Arabidopsis thaliana: one gene and its partner. The protein of the gene in region 2 interacts with the protein of the main gene of each other region in a pairwise test. Each region holds a gene or a part of one and is shown on either strand. Other genes may lie near its edges. The genes, in order: TGA3 and AT4G15670.

The links.
Region 1: the proteins of AT4G15670 (region 2) and TGA3 interact in binary tests that used the Arabidopsis thaliana proteins (3 or more experiments, as listed by UniProt).

What each region holds. Positions count from the first base shown.
Region 1 is NC_003070.9:7,786,239-7,795,093, reverse strand, and holds TGA3 (transcription factor TGA3), read right to left. Parts: upstream 5,962-8,855; 5' UTR 5,444-5,961; coding exon 5,438-5,443; intron 5,106-5,437; coding exon 4,905-5,105; intron 4,819-4,904; coding exon 4,732-4,818; intron 4,597-4,731; coding exon 4,537-4,596; intron 4,462-4,536; coding exon 4,384-4,461; intron 4,298-4,383; coding exon 4,234-4,297; intron 4,134-4,233; coding exon 3,862-4,133; intron 3,786-3,861; coding exon 3,552-3,785; intron 3,426-3,551; coding exon 3,273-3,425; 3' UTR 2,955-3,272; downstream 1-2,954. Other genes in the region: AT1G22080 (Cysteine proteinases superfamily protein), read left to right, coding at 1,005-1,283, 1,359-1,705, 1,782-1,869, 2,117-2,304, 2,379-2,466, 2,682-2,690.
Region 2 is NC_003075.7:8,926,035-8,932,827, reverse strand, and holds AT4G15670 (Thioredoxin superfamily protein), read right to left. Parts: upstream 3,798-6,793; 5' UTR 3,592-3,797; coding exon 3,283-3,591; 3' UTR 3,015-3,282; downstream 1-3,014. Other genes in the region: AT4G15680 (Thioredoxin superfamily protein), read right to left, coding at 707-1,015; AT4G15660 (Thioredoxin superfamily protein), read right to left, coding at 6,592-6,793. UniProt on the Arabidopsis thaliana protein: May only reduce GSH-thiol disulfides, but not protein disulfides.

The DNA of each region.
Region 1 (8,855 bases), on a different chromosome or scaffold from region 2:
TTTGCTGTCTGAATGTCTATTCTACTTGAATTTACTTTATTTCTGTACGTTTTGACTTTGAATATGCATCTGATTTTTTTTGTATGTTTCACTTTGAGATTGCCTCTAAAAGTAAAAGTTCTTTCTGTGTCAATAGACTAGTAGTGGTTTCGGTTTCTTAAAAAACTTAACTATGTGTCACTAGACTAGTAGTGGTCTTGGTGTCTTCAAAAACTCTTTACTATGTGTCACTAGACTAGTAGTGGTTTTGGTGTCTTAAAAAACTCTTTACTATGTGTCACTAGACTAGTAGTGGTCTTGGAGTCTTCAAAAACTCTTCACTATGGCTTGTTAAGAATAAATTTCTTGTGATGTCGTATGTTACTTGTATTCGTTTTTTGGATAATGCCATTGCAAAAAATATTGAAACACTTCAATAATGTTTGAGACACTGATATGTTTGTGTTTTTGTATTTGTTTTTCAGAGATGGGTAAAAGAAAAAACAAAAAGGTGGTGGTACCTATGGATATGGATCAGTTTATACCCTCAAGGCCTGATGGTCTAAAAGGGCTTCCACCAAACTGTTTGAAGCGCCTGAGAAAGAAGGGATTGAGTATTATACAGCCTGGAAATCTGTGTTTGATCCTGACTGATTGGTATGTTCAACAAGCAAGAAGAACAGCCCGAAGAGGTCCTTTCCACCTTTCAGATGATGGTCGCGTTGCTTTCTTGTGCTGGAGAGTTGCAAGACCGGTACAGAATCTAATACTTAAACTTTAACATGTCCATAATTTTCCAAAATATCAGAACTTTTGTTGTTTGTCTTGTTTAGGCATTCGCTGAGCTTTTGAAAAGCTCGTCATGGATCGTGATTGCTGGTTTTATTCGAGATCAGCTCAGGCACATCAATTGTTAGGCGTACGCTTCTTCCGATCTAACCAGTGCCATAAGGATTATCCGCCACTGGGAAGATACATATATTCCACTGTGTGCTTGGTACCTAAGCAACCATGTTGAACCAGAGATGCTCGGCAAGGATAAACATGCGGAAAAGGGACATGTGTGCTACGGTAATTCAATTGCTGAAGCCTTGGAACATATTGAAAGAGAAGGGATCCCAAAAGAGATCCCACAGTTTCGTCAGTATAAATGCCGTCGTTATCCTCCAAGTGCTCATAAGAGAAAGCACAAGATAAAGTCTGTCCTTAGTTTCGACACTTTGGACAAGGCTTTAGCCCACCTTCACATTCAGCCTGTTGGTGCAGCTTTAATTACTTTCCCTGAGTTGTGGCGTATTGGAGAAGTAAGAATAATTTAAGCAGTGTAGTATTTGATTAGGTCTTACTTTCTTAGCTAACATATATAAATTGTTGTGCAGCACATCTACCGTGGCCCATTAGAAGAGAATACTCAATTCACGGGGTTTCATGACGTGGTGATTGTCAAGGTAGATGTGATTAACCGCGAACAGGTGGCGTTGTGCAAGCTGAGCAACGGCCCAAAAATTGGTGTTGGTGGGTATGTATGGGTTTCCCTGGAAGTGATGTACATGGTGGTTGGTGCTCAGGATAATGATAAAGATATGCTTCGGCCCTCCTCAACACCACGCCATCTTCTTTCGGATTTTAATTGCCCACTAATGGATGAAGCTCCAAGGGCAAACCTTAAGAGGAAACAGGAGCAACAAGATGAACCAAAAAGATCTAAAAAGCGTCGTCGTCAAAGGTAAATTGATCAGACTGTCACAGAGTTGAACAATGCTCAGTGTTGCGACTCTTTCATTGCTGTGTTTTGGTTGCAGAGTGGCGCGCAGCAGTTCTAAATTGCACTCTAACCTAGATGATGATGACGTCGCAAGTCTTCATGGCCAAGTCAGGCAGTTGATAAATGTAAGATGACAGATTTCTGAAGCTTCTGGCTCTCTATCTTTTAACATTAATTTCATCTTATGAATTAGGAAATCTGTCATACCTGAGGAGTTGTTACTGTCCTCAAACTCTGTATCACTAGCTGTCCTCATGTAGTTCCTGACTCTTGATGTTTTACAGGAATCAAATGACTTCTGGTTTAAGCTAGTTGTCATTTTTGTTTTACTGGAACTTTGGCTTTGTCGTATGGTTTTATCTTCTTTTGCAGACAAGAGATACAAATAGTCATGATCAAGAAGCATCTCATGAAGACGATAAACCTGCTGTTGTAACTTCAGATAATTTGCCAATCTCTACAGAAGAATGCTCGCAACTAAGCTTTGGATCAAGCCCTTTGAGCAACAACGCAGGAGAGACCTCTGATGTAGCTTCAAAGATGGAACATTCAGATGCTAGGTATTCTGTTACTAGTGATTTCTTTTCCCAAACTATTTATACCATACTTACCAACTGATCATGCTTGCTTGCAGAAGTACCGACTTCTATGGACACTCTATGGGCTCAAGTAATAGCCACAATGCCTTATCACTTGGTGGCCCAAGCAGTTCCATGCCAGAGGTAAATAATCCTTTCTCTTTAAGAAGCACGAGACTGTAATATTTCATCCTCCTAGCTTGTATTTTGTAACAAGGAAGTAGTAGTAAACCGGGTCATGGATACTTTCTTGTTTACATGAAGTACTCTGCTGCCTTTTCCATATGAGTCTTGTGTTCTTCACATTTGGAAGTTGATTTCTTGGTCTATTCTTATGTCTTTTTACTTCTTTTTTCCAGGATGGCTAGTGAAGAAGATTTGAATTTTACAGGAGAGATAAAGAAAGAAAGAGAACTAACCCTTTTTACCCCATTTGTATCACAAAAGGGAAGAAACATGTGTTACCTTTAACTCTTGTCTTTATCTTTCCTCGGTGTGGGCTTTTTTGGCTGAGACCCGTAGGATATTCATTTTAGGCACAATTTGAATGAAGGGAATGATCAAACTCTCTATGAATCTATTTGAATTTATTGTTTGTCTATTGACCAATTTATACCAACAACAAATATAAGCTAAGAACTGTTGGAATAACAATATAGACAAAAAATTTGATTGTGGGCTCAAATTTTCATATACGAGGAGATGAGTGACAACAAACCCTATATATTTTACAAATAAAGAGCCTAATGCATCAAAGACATTACATGTTTTCCACCCAAATTTACACATCTCTTATTCCTTTCAAGTAAACAAAATCATCAATGAGGAAGATGATGCTCTCTAATGGAGAAAATATCAGCCAACACTTTCTGAGAGATAAAGCAAGTCCCTATAGCTAACATCATCTGCCTTGTGCTTCTTTCTCTTTGTTTTGTTTGCCTCCTAACTTGTCAAGTGTGTTCTCGTGGACGAGCTGCCCAGAGAGAACTAAGAGCACGCAGCCTGTGGAAGTATTCTCCTAGAGCGAGCAACCCTCGAGCAGCCTGTCTTGTCGTCAATATCTTACTCATTTGCTGCAGGGTCTGTTGTCTCAGATGATCCGCCTGTTCCAATATTGTCAGAGATTTTGTTTGTGAAATCCATGCTCACAAAGTTTCTAATCAAAAATGAAAATAAACTTTGGATTCATGGAGACTGCAAAAGCACAAAGCAAATACACTTAGCGTTACCTGGTTCACAAAACTCTCCAATGCTTGAAGATTCTCCATGGCTGAAGCCATTGGAGCCCCGTGATTCACAGACTCAACAACTTTTATCTGAATTGCTATGCTTTCGACCAAACCCTGCTGAAGTTTATCTAAGCCTTGAGAGAGAGCCTCCTCTGCTTGCTGAGACGACTGTTGCAGGTTACGCACCTCCAACAGTTGCTGATCGGTTAAGGGCTCAACGTATGGCATCACAACCTAGACAACAAAAAAGGTTGAGCATTTTTTCTCAAGAGTAGAAAGAGAAACGTGTAAAAGTAAAAAAGAAGTTTACATTTAAAAGCTCGGATGGGCGGAAACCTCCAATCCATTGGAAGAAGCGTTCAGTTGAAGTTCGCCACATTCCCGACATCAAGAAGAACACATCAGCCTTTGCAGCATCAGCTTTCATGCGGAAGAGATTTGCGTAGTGGTTCAAGCAACTATCTACCAACATTTTGAGCTCAATGTCACCTATATGAGCTTGGAGCGCTGTTCGAATCTCACTAACTCTCCTGTTTTGCTCTTCTAGCCAGTGTGTGTATTCCATCTCAAATGCAGCAATACCTGAAAATGGTTATTATTGGGAAAATTACTTCTTTATCTACTGAGGATTAAGAGATAAAGCAATGCTAACATATGCTTATTTAGTGATATAAACACCAACCTGAGTTCATATTCCCAGCTGGTCCTAGATAACTAGTATCTGAAGAATTGCGTACGCATAATCCCTAATACAAACCAGAAGAATCACTGAGTCAGAATGAATCAGATAAAGTTTGATGAACACACAACAAATAAACAAGCTTGAGCTAACCTGCTGCCTAGCTCTTACAAGTTCCTGCTCGAGCTGTGACAACTTCAACCGGCTTTCTTCTAACTGTTGAACATGGGCCTACAAGCACAGACACAACTTTGCATAAGCTTTCCTTTTTATCATTAACACAAGAAAAAATCCCACCAAGGTTACCTTCTTTCTCAAACGACTTTTGCGAGCAGCTTCTCGGTTCTGAGCCAAACGCCGTTTCATCTGTTCATAGAGAAGGAACAACAATTCATGTCATCACGCCGTGTCTCTTCCTCTAAAGATTAAAATGGAGAAGGAGGAGTTTATGAAGTCTTCGAAGCAAAAGGTATAAGTAGCCTTAAAATGCTAAAGCCTTACCTTATCATTGATCCGGTCTTCGTCCTGATCATTATTACTCGACGGTTCTGCTTCAAGAGAGTTATTATACACAGAAGTATAATTCACCTGCAACATAATTAACCATCAATCACCAAACAAACAACACTTATAAATCATTCTAAAGCATGATCCAGGAATAAACAATAACTCACTCTATTGTTATCATCTGCTTCTGGTCTAGCATCAACCTCAAGTGTTGTTGAAGAACTCTGATTGTTATTCTGATTACTAGTAATATTGTTGATATCTGATTTGAAAGGACTCTCCCAACCAGATAACTGTTGAAATGGTTCATACATCCCCATGTCTCTGAATGATACAACTTGAGTAGTAGAAGAAGAAGAGCTCATCATCTGTAAATCAACAATTTACAGACTCAAGCTTATTGAATTCAAGAAACAGATTCTCTAGCTCAGCTTTCAATAGATATATAGATCCAGTCCATATCTCTAAAATTGCATTGCTTACTAACACACACAATAAACAAGTAGTTATAGTTTCAGTTTTAGCAATAAAGGTTGAAACTTTAGAAAACCCAGCTCTCCAAAACAGAGCCTTTTGAAGAAACATAGCCAAATAGAGTAATACCCATGAAACTAGAAAGTTGCAACAACTAAAAACCAAAATTGGAAAATTTAAGGACTTCACAAAGCAAGAAAAGATAACATGAGAAACAAAAACCAACCTCCATTGATAAGCAGAGAAGAAATTCATGAGGAGCTCGAGAGATGAAGAATGAATCTTGGCATTCTAAAAGGAATATTCCGATCAAACGGTGACCACAAGAGAGAAGAGAGAAATGAAGAAAAACTTTGGTCAAAACTTAGAGGTGAAGCGTACCCATCATTGAAAAAAAAAAGCAGAGATATTTATTTTTTTATACATATATTTTGTGTTGTTGCTTTTTTTTTTTTCCTCATGGCTTTGATTAGTCCATGAGCGTAGAATAATAAGCAAGTTGAAGTAAACGAACGATGAAACGACAAAAGCATCACCACCGGGAGAAAAACAAATCGAGAGAGATGATAAAAAAGGTTGAGTCTTTTCCTCTATTCCAAAAGTTGACCTTATCGTGCGCCTCTGTTTCTAAACTACACCTTTTGATGACCTGGATTCTTCATCGTCGGCCGACACGTCAGATGCTTGAGGGGAATATTCCGGTAATTTTTATTTTTTAACATAGAGAATCTGAATCTCATATATATAAGATGTGATTTGTTTATGATTTTGTTAGAAAAAAACATACAATATCATATATCAAAACTTAATAGTCGACTTATGATTCACATTATAAAAAGTTGATATATAATATATATATATATATATAGTTTTTAAATTAAAATAGTTATAGTAATGATTTGATCTGAAAATGGATAATTGATATTTGTACCACGAGATTACTACCGATTGGTTAAATATATTTTTTAGTAACGATTTTAAATATAGCTGATAATTTATTTGTATAAATATTTGAATAACTGTGAATTATTTGTTATTCAGAAATTGAATAAACTTTTCCAAGAAATTAGGTCGCATTTTGTGGGACAAGAGTGGAAGATTAATACTTTTAATCAATTTATTAATTTTTATTCGCTTTATTTGGAGGGTCTCAGTGCTATGCAGTGGCATCTTTTAACTTAAGTACTCCTCCTTAGCTTAGTGAGTAATAATTGGGCCTCTAGTGACCTACCCAACTCTAAGAAAATGATTAATTTTGTTATCTTTTTCTTCTTTTGCCTAATACAATATTGATTCTTTAGTTAGTTTGGTGCCACTTGTCTGATAAAATCTGCGTTTCGACAGAGACAAATACGTAAAATAAGTGGGGCTTTTGGTTTGGCTTTAATAAAGATTTCATATACTATAGTTTTCAATCTTTATAAATATGATTCAAAACGTATTGATCAATGACATGCAAAAGGATAAATACCGAAACTAAAATGAATCATTTTGATTTTCTTAAATCTATTAAGTTTTTGTCTTTTTGACGCAACAGCGCAGAAAGGCCTAAAGAGGAAAAGTTGGGCTTAGAGTAAAGCCCATAAAATTTGTCGAATATTCAACACATGGCAAGTGCACGTGAGAAAAAATCTACAGAAGTCTCTGTGCCGCTTTTTAAGGCTTCTCGCCTTGTACAACTTTTTTTTTTTAAAAATGCGCAAGTTTCTTTTCTGTAACGTCACATATTATTTTCGTTAACCCTAATAATTTTGGTGTTTTCTTTATTTTGTTATATAACATGTATAGATTTTAGACCTAAACTTTACCACTTAAAAGAGTGTCTACAATGATAAAAATAATAGATCATAATAAGTTATTTAACTTTAATAATCTAGATGATAGAATTCAATCTTAAGTCTAAAATTTCGTAATAAACCTTTAAATTTTAATACACGATATATTATAATATATTATTATATATTATAATATATTATTATATATACACCCAAAACCGGCTCAATAGAACTGGAATTTTGGTACAAATTTTAAAAATTAGTCTTTTTCAGTATTAATTTTGTTTATACACAATCATTTACTTACATATATATAAACAATAAAATAATATATATATATATATATATATATATATTTATATAAGATAAAAGGATATATAAAAATTTAGACCCTTTAACAACATAATTACAAAAAAATAAGAGTATTTAGGATAAATTGTTTTTTATTAACTTTTTAGCAAGGAAAAACAATTCAATAATTTATATTCTTCATGCATCATATATTTTATGATCGACTGAACAATATCACCATCAACCACTACATGGTTGCAACCAAAGAGGGAGCAACCATGTAGCATTCGACTACCAACAAACAATATCACCATCAACCACCACTACATGGTTGGAACCAAAGAAGGAGTAACCATGTAGCAAACCAACAGTATCACTATCAATCACTACATGGTTGCAACCAAAAAAATAATAACCATATAACATTCGACTACCAACCAACCAACAATATCACCATTAATCATTACATGGTTGCAACAAAAAAAAAGAACAACCATGTAGTATTTTGCCATCAAATAAAAAGACTTTTCACGAATTGTTAATAAAATATATTATATTTATTTTAGACTTGCAAAAGATATCAGTCACTAATTGAAAATAATCATTTTCGCATACAAGAATGTCATTCTTCTTACTTCTTTGCATGCATCAACTTGTCAACTTCATTCAACTATATCCTAAATTGTTTGAATCTACAAAATATATTTTCAATTATTAAAAATAATTAAAATTACGCCAACATTACAAAATATTTGACAATAATTAGGCTCTTAGAAAAATTTATTAGAGGAAAACAAAATCTATAAAATCCTGACGATTTCACGTTTCATAATGAAGATTTCAAAATATTATTTTGTACACCACTAGTACGTTTGATTTTTTGAACAGGAGGTCGCATATTGGTCGCCACATATACTATAATGTTTTGGCCATTTTGATTAGTTAATTAGGAAATATATTAACGGCGTTATATATTTAATTTGGTACTAGTTTTACCATTTACTTGCTTTTTAGTTTTTATAAAAATCTATTTTACTATATAAATCTAGTAGATTAGCCGAACATTCTTCTTGTAAACTATTAAACGGCCGTTCATTGATTTAAAAACCTGGTACTAGATTCAATAATTTACATTTAACAAACAATTATGATACTCGTCTGAAAAGATGTATGAGTTTAGGGCCAGATACTCTTAGTTATTTAAAAAATGTATTTCTAAATAATCTAATTTGTCCATCACATTTGGCTATTCCAATTTGCATCAAATTCTGATGTCACCCATATAGATAGATTAGATACTATACTTATCTATACTTAATTCAGATAGTTGCGTGACCCTCTGGATTTGCCACGGGAAGGAGAGATGCTGGTCTGAGAATAAATTGGCATATATTGTAACTCCAGCCCTTAAATTCCTTATTTATGTGTGTTTGGTCCTAATTAAACTTATTATGCTTAAAAATAACTCATCATGAGTTCATGACTATATAATCGTTACATATGTAGCAGGGATTTAGAAACTCTTATAGCTTTATAAAACATCCAATCTAAATACTTGCTTAAAACCCAAAGAAAAAA
Region 2 (6,793 bases):
ATACTCTAACTTGAGCCATAAAACCTCATCTGTAAAAATCTTCTCGAATTATATAATATTTAATTACTTTGAAGGAAGATTCAGATTCATCCAAAATCAAGACAATAGATTAGAGAGGTGAATTGATACATTTTGTTGCAACACAAGATGGATCCATGAGCATAAATCAAATATTTAGAAAGAAAACGGCGATACATGATGCAGACCTCATGAGTAACCCACTAACTACCTAATTTCTTATTCATAAAAACATACAAAGTACTTGTCGATGTATATATAATTCCTTACGTCAATTGTTTGTCTTGGTATATAAGTTACAAAATAATATTTCATCTTATTTTAAAATTCTTCTATTTGTACTCGAGGTCATGAATATACTATATGCATTGCATATTTTAAAATTTCGTATTACCCCACATACAATGTTTTAATTTCTAATCCATGCACACATGCATATATATATATATATATATATATATATATATAACAGATTAAAATGGGAAATGGAAATCCAAAAAGAAGTGATTTTATTATAAAGTTTACCCACACGTTACAAAATAGGTATCCTATAGTCATAGTCTATCCTTCCAAAACTTAGATAGACAACATACATGTATATGTGTTTTTGTTTGTCATCTTTGATTACTTTCATTACATTATTATTACCATGCTACGTTCATAACGTAAATATCCCCTTATCTTGAAATCAAAGCCATAGTGCTCCAACCCTCTTTAGCATAGGAACCAGAGAGCGATTGAGATGGAGACTCATGACTTGATTGGCTCCACCAACAAGCTGCCCTCCAATAAACACCACAGGCACGGTTGGGCTGCAGCCAAGCTGAGCCAATGCTTGCTCTATCTCCTTTCCTCTGTTGATCTCATCTAGCTCATAGATCGTTGGATTCACGCCAAAGTCTATGAAGAGAGTCTTGATAGTGTGAGACATGCAACATGAGTTTTTGCTAAAGATCACTACCGACTTCTCGGAGATCATCTTCTGTAGCTTATCCATTGGTATTATAATGTGAAATGTGTTCGAAGAGCGACTCGCCGAGGATGAAATGGGTAGTTTTTTTTATTGAAATGAGAGAAAAGGGGTGAAATTGGTAAGCTAGAGAACTTGAAGTCTTTGGCTGACGATATATAAGAGATGACTTAGAGTTTGTTTTTGATGTAGTGAAGGGTCTCTAAGGGTCCTTTATATATAGCTTTCTTGATGTCGGTTTGAGATAGCACTTTTCAGCGAATCAACTTTATAACACGAAAATAAAGAACCTATTAAAAAATAATGAAAACTAAGATAGTGGGAGTACAATTTGAGGAGCTCACACGTTCTTGACTCTTTACCACTTGCAGCTAAAGAATAAAACTATCAACTAATTAGGTAAAACGTACAGAAAACAAAATCTCTTAGATGTGAGGAATATCTTATACGTACGAATCATGTCATATTAGTCTTGGCCTTCTATTTCCAGTTTCAATCAAAAGAGATATATTTTCAACACAAATACATTTTTGTCTCCTATCACATAGTTACTTATAATTATTTACTGTGATGTTTTACATGTGAATTTTCTTTTTGGTTACCAAATATTACACGTATATGTAATTTTACCAATATTCATCGGGTTGTAAATTTCATGATAATTATCATATAGTATAATGAAACCTTCTTATCAAAAAAAAAGATCTACTTAAAATCTTAAAATCGCTGCCATTGAAATATACAATATTACTCACGATAAAAAAAATTGCATCTCCTAAAAAAAAAGAAAGAATTGCATCTCCTTCCTTGGCGAAGACTCGAGATCGTATGGTATATCTCCAGAATAATCTTATTCTTCATCTTTTTCGTTTTTTGATTGTGCGGTTTACGTGGCCTCTTCACTTACAAGTAAAAACCTTCCTTTATTCTCACAAATTGTTCATCATAAATCAATATGGGAATAATTTATGTCTGATTCTTGACGTCGCAAAGATTCGATCTCATGCCATGAGGATAAGGCTCAATGGGACGAAACAATATTTTTGTTTATGTTAAAACTCGATTTGTCGATGGAATGTGGCCCAACTGTGATCCGGAGAGTCGTTTATTCATATACTACAAATTACAAAGTAATCGTATTCCATACATGTCTTATGTAAAAACACATATTATCGAATCACATCGCATCCAATCCCAGAACTATTTCACACCATCCTGTAACTTTAATTATATACGTCCAGCAATTTTGGGTAAATCTCACTTTTCTCCTAAAAACTTGTTGGTGCTTTGAACACTTTATAAATTTCGTCAAAGTAAGTGAGCTTATTTTTTCCCTACAATTTGTATTAATTAATTTATGAGTTTCACTAAGGTTATATGCTTCACTAAGGTTATATGTATATATATATATATATATATTTTTAATGTATATAAGTGTCAGAATATTATCCGTAACATAGAGAAATGGATGAACGTCTTGCATTTTTGTTGTGAGCACTCAATGTGACATCATAATTAATAGTGTTGATAGCTTGTGTCGAAGTCTACTTCCCTTTATTCAAAGGTTAAGCGGCGAGTTTCTTGGTGACTATGGTATAAGATTGTTTTGCTGGAAGAACAGCCAAGGGTATGCGGTCCTTAGTAGTTTGAGGGAGAGAGTGTGGCAATATCATTCTAATTAGGATATAATTATTTGTTTTTATAATATATTTTATTAAGAAGAAATGGTTTGGAACATGTTATGCATTAAGCGCATTGGGGCTTAAAGTTAGTAATGAGTACGTATTTTAATTAGAATATTTATATCCGCACATACGATATTTTTAAATGCATGCATGATATTTTTGATCAAAAATACTTCATACTAGCCGATTTGGTGACATGGAAATTCCTAAACCTAACACAACTATATAGTAACAAAATTCTTGTTTAGAGACGCCCAAATCTATATAGTAACATCCATAAACGGATATATTCCGATTAAGAGTTAGAGTTTCTTTCATCAAATGTGACATCTTTTGTAACTCACACTTTCTGGTCCTTCATTTTTAACATGTGTAAATTTCCAATACCCATGGCATACACTTTTCTTAAATGCATGTTTGTATTCATAAAAACTGAAAATAGAAATACAACACTAAGTATACCAAGAACGTTACGAAATCAGTACCCTGCCTCATAATCTATCCTTTCAAAACTTAGATAGACACAAAACATTCATATGTATATGATTGGTTTCAATACATTATTATTACCAATCTACAATCAATAAGTAACTATTTCTTTATATTTTGTCAAAGCCATAACGCCCCAACGCGTTTAAGCATTGGAATGAGAGAACGGTTGAGATGGAGACTCATGACTTGATTGGCTCCACCGACAAGCTGCCCTCCTATGAACACCACTGGCACGGTCGGGCTGCAGCCAAGCTGAGCCAATGCTTGCTCTATCTCTTTTCCTCTGTTGATCTCATCTAGCTCATAAATCGTCGGATTTACGCCAAGGTCTAAGAAGAGAGTCTTGATTGTGTGCGACATGCAGCATGAGTTTTTGCTAAATATCACTAACGACTTCTCCGAGGTCATCTTCTGTAGCTTCTCCATTTTTGTTAATTTGAAAGTGTGTTTGAAAAGTGACTTGAGGAGGATGAAATAGGTTATGTTTTGATTACAAGATGCGAGATTAGGGATGAAAATGGGGTACTAGAGAACCGTTAAAGAGATTGTGATATCTTTGGGTGAAGATGAGAAGTGACTTTGACTTTTATGTGTTTGATCAGTTTGATGAAGAGAAGTGTCTACAAGGGTACTATATATAACATTCTACGTAAGGATATGATATTATGGGTTCGATGTAACTCTTATTAAGAGAATAAACTTATAGCATAAAATAAAGAGCACATTTTATTTGCGGCTATGATCGGTTCACACCTTCTTGACTCTTTGCCTCTTGCAGCTAAAGAATAAAACTAATTCGGTAAAACGTACAAAAAACAAAATCTCTAAGTTGTGAAGAATATTTGATACGGACGAATTTATGTCCATGTCTCTATGGTACGGCCATATATGTTCATTGTCAAAAGATATATTACTTTATCACTTTTCAGGGAATTTAATAGTGTTGATGCTTCATAACTGGTAGATAGTTTTCATAATTTTTTAAATTAGAAAGTTTAATAGTAAGTAAGCCTACACTCATTGACAAAACATAATAATTTATAAGATTTGTTTTTAAAAAGATAAACAAAACCTTACACCATGTGGAAATAAAAGTCAATTAATGAACGTTTTATGAGCCAAAAGTAGTCTACATACAGTATACACATGAACATGATAGAAATTACAAGCTCTACTTCTTGAAGACTCGAGATTGTATAATTCCAGAATAATCTTTTATCTTTTTTTTGGTGTTTGAGGATTACGTGGCCTCTTGACTTGCCATCAAAACATATGTTTTTATCAAAAAACTTTGGTCATGAATCGTTTTGGGAATAAAGGTACGCTTTGCATGATTCTTGACAACGCTAGCTCGATTTCATTCCATGATGATAAGGCTCAACTGGAACCACTTTTTTTTTTTTTTCTGGATCAAAAGGTGGCCCAACATTGTTGCGGAGAGTCGTTATTAATCATATATGAAAAATACAAGGTCATCATATTCACAGCACGTACATGTCTTATGAACAAAACACAGATCATATGATCGCATCTAATTCCAGATCTTTATATTTGTAATGTATGCATGATTTGATTTGAAAAAAAAAACAATTTGGTTAAATTGTTAGATATTGTTTACTATTTAGAAGGTTTAAAATGCAGAACATCAAATAAATTTACGAGTTTAGAAAGCCAGAATAGCAGCCATAAATTTTCCATGCCACAACAAACCTCTTTTTGCGTCGAGTTGCTTTCCTCGAAGTTTCTAATTATCATCGTAGTTCTTCATTTTTTTCTTTAGAAGAAAGAAAAAAAAAAGTTTTTCGAATTAAATTTCTCCCCTACAAGTATGACAAATGAAGAAAACAAATTGAAAACTTTACTTGTAGATGATGTTAATGTTTTTATTTGATTGATTTGTGGGATATAATTCAAATGGTAGTAGTACTTGCACTCAATGACAAACAATATTGGAGAGACAGTAAAGAAAATATCAATGTAAGGTTCATTTGATTACCTTAAAGTATTCGACAAACTTCTCCGACTTTTTATTTCATTTAATAGCTACAAATTTGTTCTCTATAAGTTAGTTTTATGTAATATGTTATTTTTACAAGAAACTTTCATCTATATACTGTTTTATTGTCATTTACTTAATTTATTTTTTCAATTGCCATTTATCTAAAACTTATCTCAAATCTTGTCATTCACCAAACTGACTCTTAAAATTACCAAAATTTATCTATTTATAAACAAAATTATGCACATTATTTAACTAAGAAAACAAAAGGCACCACACAATGTGCATTATATACAATAATGCAAACACCTATTCTCTCCTTTAATTTTTCCATTTATTTTATTTAGTGGTTTTCAAAACATTCTTGATTTAGTCGTGGGCCGAATACCACTCCTACTTGATCTATTTTATGTTTTCATAAAAGCAATGGCTGTAAAAACAAATAATAACGGTCCAGGAAATGAGTCGGACAAATATACAATCTGTCACATAGAGCTTGCTGGCAAGACATATATATGTATGAGTGCAAGTTCCAGAAAAGAGGTTATTGTCGTGAATTCTTTTTAATCAATGTGTTATACTACTTATGGATCGTAATACAAATTAACGTAGACTGATTCACCGTTTGGTTTAAATTTATGATTTACTGCGAAAATAAAATCTAAAGAGAGAAAGGGAGGATATTTTACACCATCTCCACTCCCACTTTTATATTTTCCGCTAAACTTTATTGTAGAGCAAAATATCTCCAATTATAATCTATTTCTAAATGAAATATATATATATATATATATTTATAAATATATATTGTAAATTTATACTAGATCTCTATTTTAAAATTTGAAATAGAATAGGGTTGGAAAAAAATGCACTCAAATTTAACTCTAAAATAGAGTTCTTCTATTTTTAAGTGAAAAAAAATAAAGATATGGGTTAGAGAAGTCTTTTACCAATCAATATACTGATTAGACTTACACTTTGTTTAAAACGAGAATGGACTTTGATCAATGAGTTATACTTTGAGATTATACATGTTTTTTTTTTTTATATTCTCTCTTGCAGCTTTGACATCGTGAGAGACGCCCCGAATAAGAAAAAAAAAACAGAAACAAAAGTAAGCTTTTTCGCTTTTTGATAAAGAGAGAAAAGAAGTCAAATTAAAGTCTTTCTTTTTCTCTACAATATGTGTACCATTTCTTAATAGCATGTATATATATATTAAAAACCAAAAGCATGGACAAGTAGAAATACAACACTAGGTTGTTTACTATAAAATATACCCACACGTTACAAAATAGGTATCCTCACAATCTATCCTTTCAAAACTTACATGCATACATTTTTTTTTTTTTTGTCATCCTTGATTGGTTTCATGACATCATTATTACCAAGCTACGATCAATAAGTAACTATTCTTTTATATTTTATCAAAGCCATAAAGCCCCAAAGCGTTTAAGCATTGGAATGAGAGAACGGTTGAGATGGAGACTCATGACTTGATTGGCTCCACCAACAAGCTGCCCTCCTATGAACACCACTGGCACAGTCGGGCTGCAGCCAAGCTGAGCCAATGCATACTCTATCTCTTTTCCTCTGTTGATCTCGTCTAGCTCATAGATTGTCGGGTTC